Xenopus tropicalis: one gene and its partners. The protein of the gene in region 1 interacts with the protein of each later gene in a pairwise test. Links are inferred from orthologs where the notes say so. Each region holds a gene or a part of one and is shown in the gene's direction. Other genes may lie near its edges.

Region 1 (3,656 bases):
AGTAACATGTTCTTATTTCCCCTTTATTATATTCCTATAGATCTGCTCACAGCTGGGTAACTAGGAGTAACATGTTCTTATTTCCCCTTTATTATATTCCTATAGATCTGCTCACAGCTGGATAACTAGGAGTAACATCATGTTCTTATTTCCCCTTTATTATATTCCTATAGATCTGCTCACAGCTGGGTAACTAGGAGTAACATGTTCTTATTTCCCCTTTATTATATTCCTATAGATCTGCTTACAGCTGGGTAACTAGGAGTAACGTTCTTATTTCCCCTTTATTATATTCCTATAGATCTGCTTACAGCTGGGTAACTAGGAGTAACATGTTCTTATTTCCCCTTTATTATATTCCTATAGATCTGCTCACAGCTGGGTAACTAGGAGTAACGTTCTTATTTCCCCTTTATTCTTTCCCGTTAGAGCTGCCGGGAGCGGATCCCCCATTGCGGAGACCAGAGGGTTTTGGGGCAAAGTCGCTCCGGGACTTCATGCTGAAATCCCCAGACTCGCACCTCCCCAGAAGCCCCAGCACCCAGGCCCCTCCCAGACTTCCAAGGGCAACACCATGGGGCAGATACAGCTGGGTAGGTTCTGATTTTCCCATTTATGACTAGAATGTTCTAGAACAGTGCTGTCCAACTGACCCCCCTCTGTGTGGCCCCCCACCTGTCTGGCTGCTTTGATGGTTTACCCTTGTATAAGCTTTAAATGGTATCAGTACTGAGATTAACTGCCCCCCCTGCATGGTTCTCACCTCAGATTCAGGCTGTAATCCCTCTGCATTGTTTAAACATGTAATCCCCTGTGTTGTTCCACCTTTTAATCTCTGCATTGTTCCCCCCTGCAGTGTTCACACCTCAGGCTCAGGCTGTAATCACCCACATTGTTCCCCTGTTCACACCTCAGGAGCAGTAGAAACCCACAAATAAACCCTGCACACTACAAAAAGAACATATACTGAGGTGGTACTGCAATTAAATTTTTTTTTAATATATAGTTATTGTGCAGACTGTAGGAGCAGTGCCAGCATTGTGTCACTACACTGTGCCATACACACAGGCAGGGTAGGGCAGACAGAGTATGGCACACACAGGCAGGGTAGGGCAGGCAGAGTATGACACACAGGCAGCATAGGGCAGGCAGAGTATGGCACACACAGGCAGGGTAGGGAAGGCAGAGTATGGCACACACAGGCAGGGTAGGGCAGGCAGAGTATGACACACAGGCAGCATAGGGCAGGCAGAGTATGGCACACACAGGCAGGGTAGGGAAGGCAGAGTATGGCACACACAGGCAGGGTAGGGCAGGCAGAGTATGGCGCACACAGGCAGAGTATGGCGCACACAGGCAGAGTATGGCGCACACAGGCAGAGTATGGCGCACACACAGGCAGAGTATGGCGCACACACAGGCAGAGTATGGCGCACACACAGGCAGAGTATGGCGCACACACAGGCAGAGTATGGCGCACACACAGGCAGAGTATGGCGCACACACAGGCAGAGTATGGCGCACACACAGGCAGAGTATGGCGCACACACAGGCAGAGTATGGCGCACACACAGGCAGAGTATGGCGCACACACAGGCAGAGTATGGCGCACACACAGGCAGAGTATGGCGCACACACAGGCAGAGTATGGCGCACACACAGGCAGAGTATGGCGCACACACAGGCAGAGTATGGCGCACACACAGGCAGAGTATGGCGCACACACAGGCAGAGTATGGCGCACACACAGGCAGAGTATGGCGCACAGGCAGGGGCAGAGTATGGCGCACACACAGGCAGGGTAGGGCAGGCAGAGTATGGCGCACACACAGGCAGGGTAGGGCAGGCAGAGTATGGCGCACACACAGGCAGGGTAGGGCAGGCAGAGTATGGCGCACACACAGGCAGGGTAGGGCAGGCAGAGTATGGCGCACACACAGGCAGGGTAGGGCAGGCAGAGTATGGCGCACACACAGGCAGGGTAGGGCAGGCAGAGTATGGCGCACACACAGGCAGGGTAGGGCAGGCAGAGTATGGCGCACACACAGGCAGGGTAGGGCAGGCAGAGTATGGCGCACACCACAGGCAGGGTAGGGCAGGCAGAGTATGGCGCACACACAGGCAGGGTAGGGCAGGCAGAGTATGGCGCACACACAGGCAGGGTAGGGCAGGCAGAGTATGGCGCACACACAGGCAGGGGTAGGGCAGGGCAGAGTATGGCGCACACACAGGCAGGGTAGGGCAGGCAGAGTATGGCGCACACACAGGCAGGGTAGGGCAGGCAGAGTATGGCACACACAGACAGGGTAGGGCAGGCAGAGTATGGAAGGTTTTTGCTGTACTACAAACATTAATATGGTTATGGTCATGTGATAACATGGGTGCGGTTTCAAAAAGGGGAGTGGTCAAAACTGGCTTCCATTATTGGCCCTCCACCACGTAGGTTGGAAAAATTCCAGCCCTCGGTACCACAGAAGTTGGACAGCACTGTTCTAGAAGTATAGCGATCAGGCTCCACTTGGTGTCACTAGGTGGCGCTGCGTTGGGCTGTTATTCTGTTTGTGACTGTGTCCGTTTGTGCCGGCAGGATGGTGGGGAGGTTGAAATCCCACAAGGTGGCGCCAAGCAAGACCGAGGTGAGTCCATGTTTGGGGGTGCATCATGCAGTACTGGGGGGCAGGGGAGAATGTAGGAGATCACTGGGTGAGTTGAGTCTCTTTTCCTGCCCTTTGCTCTTCCTCCATCCCGTCCCCTAAATCCTGCCCTAATGCCCGGTATTGCCCCCCCCCCCTGTGTAGATCTGGACTCGGAAGTCTCCTCTCGGGGTTTGGACACGATTCTGAGACCGTCGGAGCCGAGAGCCTCTTCCTTTTTCCAAAGTGTTTCTGTGTCTAAGTTGGTGAGACCCGACGGGGTAAGTTGGCGCTGAGGGAAGGCACCAATCAAGTGTTTGTGTGTATGCCAAGGGGTGTGGCTATAGGACCCCTGCGCGTACCCCAGATTGTTTATGTGCCCCATGTTTCTCCTCTGCCCCCCGTGACAGACGATAGAAGAGAGACGCACTGTGCGAGACAGCCAGGGGAACACGAGCACCACGGTGACTGTGCAGAGAGGGGACGAGATCCTCAGCAGCGAGACACGCGAGGGCCCCCAGGGGCCAAACGTTGGTAAGTACCAAATGCAGGCAGTGAGCACCATTGTGGGAAAGTAATAGCTCGGCTCATGAGTCGCAATCCCTCTGCCCCCTCAGGGGATCACGTACGCAGGCCCTCGGATCCTCGCTCCCCTCCGGATCTGTCCGACTCACAGACTGTGCTCAGCCGGATCCTACAGAGATGGTTTTCCCAGCGATAGAGACTCCATCACCGGTACCCACGATCCTGGCACCCCCCGGGGCACCCCCATATCCAGTGTGTGCGTTTCTACTCTCCTGGGGGTTACAAGGACCCCAATAAACCCCGGGACCCTGATCTGCAGATGGGCCCCCTGCTGCCAATTTCCCTGTCTGATATATAATTATAGCGCTTCCCGACTGCCTGCTGTCACCTCTATATGTCACGGTCTGGGCAAAAAAATAAATATACCCCCCCCAGCTTATTGGTTCAGGCCACAAGAACCAGGCACTCTTTTATTTCTCCTAATTTATATTGCTTTTC
Region 2 (3,656 bases), about 50 Mb from region 1:
GAACTTCTGCTACACTGTTTCAGGAGTCCGAATTGGATACAATTTTCATTTGAAGTTACATTACAACTTATAACTAATAAAGGTTTTCAATGTATATTTGAAAGTTTTCTTTCATTATGAGTTGCCTCGTGTGCCAGAGCCCTTAACAGTGAGATGCAAGCCTATTTGCATTGCTTTACTAGTTTAAGCTTTACCTGAGGTGTGTGAGTAAAATGCCCATACAAGCACCGATATGATCATATGAAGTTTCAAACGATTTCCGGACCGTGTGTGGACTCCAGATAATCATCCCCATGATTTTTGTATCATGTTAATTAGTCATTTAGTCAATAGGACAGGTTAGAAAATTTTTGTCGGATAATGATATTTTTGCATATATTGGCCTATATGACAATATTCTTCTTTCAATATTATTTTTTTCTTTTCCTGATGTGCTGTTGTCAATACTATTGCAATTGCTACGATTGTTGTCTGTCAATGGCCAGAACAGCATCTGATTTGTTACTTTTCAAAAGTTAATCCTGCAATTTAAATCTGACTGTTAGTTTAGATAGTTGCATTAAAATGTACAATCGATATCCAAGTGTTCGTCGTACGATGTCTAAAATCCAGCTTAAGAGTTCATGCAGCATTTCAGACAGGAGCCAATTTACAGCCAGTAGAAAGCTATACTAGAATTATATTCTCTCTCTGGCTATGAGCTCAGCTGTAAAATCTTTAGGGAAGAGAGAGCAGAATGCAGTGGGTACTAATACTGCTTGCTCTCAGTCATACATAGAATAAAATAACTAATATTTTTAAAGAGCAAAAAATGAAACCAAATTGCAATTTGTACACATTTACTTGAATTTTATATTTGGTATCCCATGTAAGTTTAAATCTGTGTGTAACATCTCAAACGTGTGTACATCTGTGTGTAACATCTCAAACGTGTGTACATCTGTGTGTACCATCTCAAACTCTGTGTTTTCTTGCAGTGTTCCCCGATATGACCAGCCGCCCCCTCTCCCTCCTCCAGTAACTTATCAGCCTCAGCAAGTGGAAACTCAGGCCTTGCTTGTCCCAGCTAATCCTTACCACACAGCAGAGATTCCTGACTGGCTTCAGGTTTATGCAAGGGCTCCTGTAAAGTGAGTTGTTGTTTTTTTTTTTTTATCTTCAAGAATTGTTTTCCTTTTAAAAATCATGTCTTGATTATAACATCCATGTTTATGTGTTCATGTACACAGCTACTGTGGTAGTCAAGGTCAGCATAGGCCATTTTGTGTTGTAAAATATACACTTCACAGGCAAATATGTTTTGCCACTCAGATTTTAGTCTAATTTTTGAAAATCAATCAGGTTTAAATGCAACAATCTAAAACTAACATTCAATCTGAAATTGTAGGATAAAGCCCTAAAAATAACAAATCGGAGGATATTTTGAACATGAAATAGTTGGCAGACACCAATCGTATGAAAGTGACTTCCTGGAAATGAATTGTAGGGGGCCCACACACAATCCGAGTTTTGTACAAATATATTCATGCGTGTATGGCCATCTTAAGGGGCATATTTATGAAAAAGTAAAATTAGGTCTTGTCACAGTGACATTTTCCACTCTGTTCGTTTGTATGGGATTTTTTACACAAAAATATGTACATTTATTAAAGTTTTTGTTTTTTTTATTGGTTTTAACAATATAGCAGAGTGTATCTGATTATTTATATTGTCTGCACTCCTGGCTTTGGCTCCTAAAACAGTGTTACAAGCCTGATAAGGGATTAACAGACCTGGAATTGAACTGACTACTGTTCTGCTTTACATAGTAGGCAGTGCACAAATTCTCCCAGAATCCATTACTTCACAATGGAACAAGGTTAAGGAGGGGTTGTGTTACACTGTGAGCCTAAGGGGTGTGTGTAGCTGATCCCAGCAAACACAGACAGATTATTATGGATTCCTTTTACTCAGGTGCGTGTAAGACAAAAATTATATTTATTTTTCAGATAGTGTTTATGCACCTTTTCTTATGTAAGCCCACCTGAATGAGCTGTCAAAAATGGGTAACTTTAGTGACCATTGTAGTATGAACATTAATGTACGTGGAACAAGTATTTCAGTGTTCTTTGAATGTTTTCCATGCATGTTCATTTACTAGCCTCAGTGTGAGACACAATGCAGGAAGTCCCTTCATGGTTTCCATAGGGTTGTAACTATGCTGCAGCTAGAAGTATGCCAGCTATGACATTTACTGTGGAACATAGTAGCTGCTCCGGGAACGTGATGTACTAATAATGTCTATTGCTGGTTGTCATTGAGAAGAGTGATCATGGTACAGCTGTTTGCTCTGAGTCACAGGGTAATACACATTGTACATTTTATGCTCATTCGCTTCCCTTCTTCATTATTCGCTTATCATATATCTGTTTTGCATATTACTTTTCCTATATTTATTATTTTGCATTCCTTGTTCTTCATTGCAGACCCAGTTTCTACCCTTTCCCCAGTTTGTGATATTGTACCACACATATAGATGATCAGATTGTATACATTTTGCAACTATAACTATATTACACTATATTACACTCTATCTGTGATTGCCAGATCAAAATGTGCTATCCAGTTTTGATGCCCTCCCCGTCCCACCATGTGCTCCCCATTCAGATTAAAGGAAAGTGCTCTATTCCTATGGTAGATGTTGGCACTGTCAGGTGTGGATCCATGGGCGTCCGCAGAAAATTTTCCAAGGGGGGGCAAGTAAGCTAGCATCATCCTGCAACAGATAAATATATATATATATTTTTTTTTTTTGCAGGATGATACTAGGGGAGGCTAAATATGGCCCATACACAGACTGACCTATAGCTAATGTGACACTTAGTGGATTCACTGCTGACGTAAAAAGTTAACCTCCCAACTACCTCTTGCCGTTCCCACTGACTCCCAGGGATACTGTACAAAAGTGCGGGTGGGGGGTGCTTTTTTTTTTTTACCCTAAAATGTTTAGTATTAGTAGTAAAAGTATTCATACGCGCACTTCTGTTAGGGGATCTGCAAACATTTGTGTTTGGGATCAGTTAGCTTAAAGGGGTAGTTCGCATTCGAATTCACTTTTATTTTTAATGGTTTTTCAGTTATTTAGCTTTTTGTTCAGCAGCTCTCCATTTGGTATTTCAGCAGCTATCTGGTTGCTAGGGTCTTATTTACCCTAGCAACCAGGTAGTGATTTAAACAAGAGATGGGAATATGAATAGTTAAGGGGCCTACTTGGAAAAATAAGTAATACAAAATTATAATAATAATAAAATTGTAGCCTCGCAGAGCAATATTTTTTGGCCCCCATTTGAAATCTGTATAGAGGCAGAAGAGAAAGGCAAATTATTCAAAAAAATTAATTAGGAAGACCAATTGCAAAGTTGCTAGGAATAGGCCATTTTATAACATACTAAAGGTTAACTTAAAAGTGAACCACCCCTTTAGATGTGTTTATGTTAGTTTTATAGCAAGAAAGGCAGTGGGTACTGACTCCCCATTATATACAGTGAGACACAGTCCGTAGTTACAAAACCAGCACATTATATGCCATGAGAAGCAGTGGGTACTGATGGCAGATATTCAGGCCCTGGCACTATAACACTGGCACTGATACACAACATTGGCCCCACTGTAACTTA
Region 3 (3,656 bases), on another chromosome or scaffold:
TGACTATCACCAAAAACTTTCTCCTTTAATGCCATGTCCCATAGTTCAGTGTTATCTGGAAGGAAGATTTATGTAGATGCTGGATCCCTTCTCTCTCTAGCCGCTGATAATAAGCCCTCTTGCACCTTCCAGGTCTCCATTCATTCCGTCTGGCTGGGGAATAACATCACCCCGCTGAGGCAAGAAGAGCTTGATGAAGACGAGGAAGATGAGAATGAAAACCCTACTCCTTCCTCACCACCCATGTCTCCAATAAACTCCAGGTCTTCTTTCAAAAACACTTCAAAGCCTTTCCTTATCTTTTAAAGGGGTAGTTCAGCTTTAAATTAACTTTTAGGGGCACATTTACTAATCCACGAATCCGAATCACGAATGGGAAAAAATCATATTGGAAACGAAAATTTTGGAAGATCGCAAATATCACGAAAATGCTTACGAAAAAATCGTATTAGTCACGATAATATTGTATTGGCGATCCGAAAATCACGAAATTTTTGTACCGAACAATTGTAAACAGCGGTAAACCTTTCCGATTTTTTCATACAAACGGCCGAAAAAGTCGTGCGCCGTACGAAAAAGTAGTGCGCCGTACGAAAAAGTCGTGCGCCGTACGAAAAAGTCGTGCGCCGTACGAAAAAGTCGTGCGCCGTACGAAAAAGGCGTGCGGACGCCCGAAAAAAATCGGCAAAAATACGCTCGGATCGTTCGCATGAACGCTCGAGCGTTCGTGCTTTCGTAAATGTGCCCCATAGAGTGATGCAGACATTGATATTCTAAGACAATTTGCAATTGGTCATTATTTTTTATTTGTTGTGGTTTTCCAGTTATTTAGAGTTTTCTTTAGCCGCTCTCCAGTTTATTTTTTGCTGGGAATATAAATAGAGGAGGGCCTATATTGAAGGATAAGTAATTAAAAGTAACAATAAAACTGTAGCCTCTCGGAGCAATAGTTTTTGGCTGCTGGGGTCACCGACCCCCCATTCAGAGTCAGAGGAGAAAGGCAAATAAATACTATAAATAATGAAGACCAGTTTCAAAGTTGCTAGGAATAGGACATTCTATAACATATTAAAAGTTAACTTAAAGTTGAACCACCCCTTTAAAGAGTGTTTCCATTCATGGATTCTGTATTTTTGATACTAGATATACGAATCTGCTTTATTTTTGTCAGTTGGGAAAGAAGCAAAGTATCAGTTTGGTTCCGCTTGCATTGCAGGAAACACCGGGCCGGTGTAGACATACACTCTTGCTCCCAGTTCCTGTTAGAGCTGTACAGCCAGTGGATCCTTCCCACCAACACAGGGAAAAAGACTCCAGCCATTCTGATCAGTGAGGTGGTGAGATCGGTGAGTATTTGCCATTGCACATGAATACAAAGTATGCTCTATGGCAGCACCGGTCAATGCACTCTCATATCTACTCTCAGTGCTGTGAGAGGTTTAAACATAGCTATAGTCTCTTTTTCCTTATTGTATGAAGCCTGGCATTCATCTTGCTATGTTTGCTTGCCTTCAGCTCCTGACGGTGTCTGATTTATTTACTGAGAGGAACCAGTTTGAGATGATGTACACAGCACTGACAGAGCTGCAGAAACAACACCCGTCGGAAGATGAAATTCTCAACCAGTATCTGGTGCCGGCCATCTGCAAAGCTGCCGCTGTGCTGGGAATGGTAAGGGAATCGCATAGCAACCCCTGAAAGCTTTGCTCTTACATGCACACAACATATTCGCTACTGTGTGAGTAATATCAGTACTGCGTATTCCGGAATGGAAATAGTCACATTCACTGTTATTTCCCCTCAGGACAAAGTTATTGCAGAGCCAGTGAGCCGGATAATAGAGACAACACTAAGAAGCACCCATATGCCGAGCCGTATCGGAGCACTACATGGGATACTGTACATCCTAGAGTGTGACCTGCTCGATGACACCGCAAAGCAGCTCATACCCGTCATCAGCGACTATCTGCTTTCCAACCTGAGAGGCATAGCACAGTAAGGGGTTGATTTACCAAAATTCGTTTTTTCCGGCCTTGAAAGTCATATAAACTCGACATGGTATAAATTCGAATTAAACTCAATCATTATTGTATTTATAAAATGTCACGATAATGCTTGAATCATTCATATGAAAATTTTGAGTTTACAATCCTGAATTTTTCAAGCCGCAACTATTGTTAAAACACGATTTTAGTAAAGGACATTCATTTCCATAAATAATCTTTTTATTTTTCCCAAACAGGAATTGCTCCAGTAGCCATTTTAGGAGCACTAGCACTCATTCTTGTGTTTCACTTAAAAGTGGGTAAAATAGAAAGCAGTGAGGGGGTTAACTTCCCCTTGAAAACGTGTGAAATAGAAAACAATGAGGGGTTGACTTCTCCTTGAAACTGGGTGAAATAGAAAAACTCAGTGGTGCTCAACAGATCAAACCTGCAAATTTATTTTGACAAAAAAGTGTTAACTAAACACTAAAACGAATTATGGGAAAAATTTCCGGAAAACTTTGAAATACCTAGAAGTGGAAAAAATCAACTTTTGCTCAAAATTGCTTAGTAAACGTTCCCCTAAGTGCCCGGGCCGTTGGGCTATGTGCCGCCTGGCCAGTGTGACATACTGTCTGTGCAGGACTAGTTCTGTTCATCTCCATTTATTTCTGCTTCACTTTTCACCAATAAGAACTAAACCCTGTGCCGAAGCCACTGCACATTTCCAAGCTTCATATGTGTTTTCCATTGCCCCATTTACTTGTCCTGAACTCCTGGTGTCAGCATTTGGCCCAAGCACCAAACAAACCTGCCTTTGCCCTGCAGTCTAGTAAGGAAGTGCTGGATTTAGTTTCTGTGTCAAAAAGGTGGGGGAAACTAAATCTTTGAGATGCCAGTCACTATGTGATAAGCACCTTGAAGGTTCATGATTTGCTTGATTCATTTCATAGTAGGGTAACCTGTGGCAACCAATCAGCATTTTGGTTTGATCATTCTTCTGCAAGGTGAATAATGAAAGCACCCATCTGACTGGTTGCTTTACTTTACTGCTACGGTGGAAATTCAGCCAATGTGTATTTATTGCTTTATGTCTATATAATACAGTGTGTGTTGTTATTTGTACAGCTGTGTGAATCTGCATAACCAGCAGCACGTCCTCGTTATGTGCGCCACGGCATTCTACTTAATTGAGAACTATCCCCTGGATGTAGGACCAGAGTTCACGTCAGGAATCATACAGGTGGGCTTGAGGCGATCGTATGCAATACAGGGACCCAGGCTGAACACTACAGGGGGCTTTGTGCAATTGTAAGGCGTATGCAAAGGGACAAAACCCACGAGTCCTTTATTACACCTGATGTTATTGTTCTTACTGATGTTAAAGGGCTGGTTCACCTTTAGGTTAATTTTTAGTTTGTTATAGAATATCCTATTCCTAGCAACTTTGTAATTGGTCTTCGTTATTTTGTTTTGAATTATTTTTCTTCTCCTTCTGATTCTTTCCATCTTCAAATTGGACTCACTGACCCCAGCAGCCAAAAAATAAAACTATTGCTCTGTAAGGTTACAATTTTATAGTTATTCTTACTTTTTTGTACCTTAACTTCCTGTTTAATATTCATATTACAGTCTCTCATTCAAACCACTGCCTGGTTGCTAGGATAGAAC

The links.
Region 2: the proteins of hax1 (region 1) and sav1 interact in binary tests that used the Homo sapiens proteins (3 or more experiments, as listed by UniProt). The link is inferred for Xenopus tropicalis from reciprocal best matches to the Homo sapiens genes HAX1 and SAV1.
Region 3: the proteins of hax1 (region 1) and htt interact in binary tests that used the Homo sapiens proteins (3 or more experiments, as listed by UniProt). The link is inferred for Xenopus tropicalis from reciprocal best matches to the Homo sapiens genes HAX1 and HTT.

The regions. Positions count from the first base shown.
Region 1 is NC_030684.2:143,228,438-143,232,093, reverse strand, and holds part of hax1 (HCLS1-associated protein X-1), read left to right. Parts: intron 1-429; coding exon 430-593; intron 594-2,587; coding exon 2,588-2,636; intron 2,637-2,798; coding exon 2,799-2,914; intron 2,915-3,043; coding exon 3,044-3,167; intron 3,168-3,250; coding exon 3,251-3,354; 3' UTR 3,355-3,656. UniProt on the Homo sapiens protein: Recruits the Arp2/3 complex to the cell cortex and regulates reorganization of the cortical actin cytoskeleton via its interaction with KCNC3 and the Arp2/3 complex. Slows down the rate of inactivation of KCNC3 channels. Promotes GNA13-mediated cell migration.
Region 2 is NC_030684.2:93,072,027-93,075,682, reverse strand, and holds part of sav1 (protein salvador homolog 1), read left to right. Parts: intron 1-977; coding exon 978-1,130; intron 1,131-3,656. UniProt on the Homo sapiens protein: Regulator of STK3/MST2 and STK4/MST1 in the Hippo signaling pathway which plays a pivotal role in organ size control and tumor suppression by restricting proliferation and promoting apoptosis.
Region 3 is NC_030677.2:22,808,793-22,812,448, forward strand, and holds part of htt (huntingtin), read left to right. Parts: intron 1-132; coding exon 133-263; intron 264-1,216; coding exon 1,217-1,346; intron 1,347-1,515; coding exon 1,516-1,671; intron 1,672-1,804; coding exon 1,805-1,995; intron 1,996-3,113; coding exon 3,114-3,228; intron 3,229-3,656.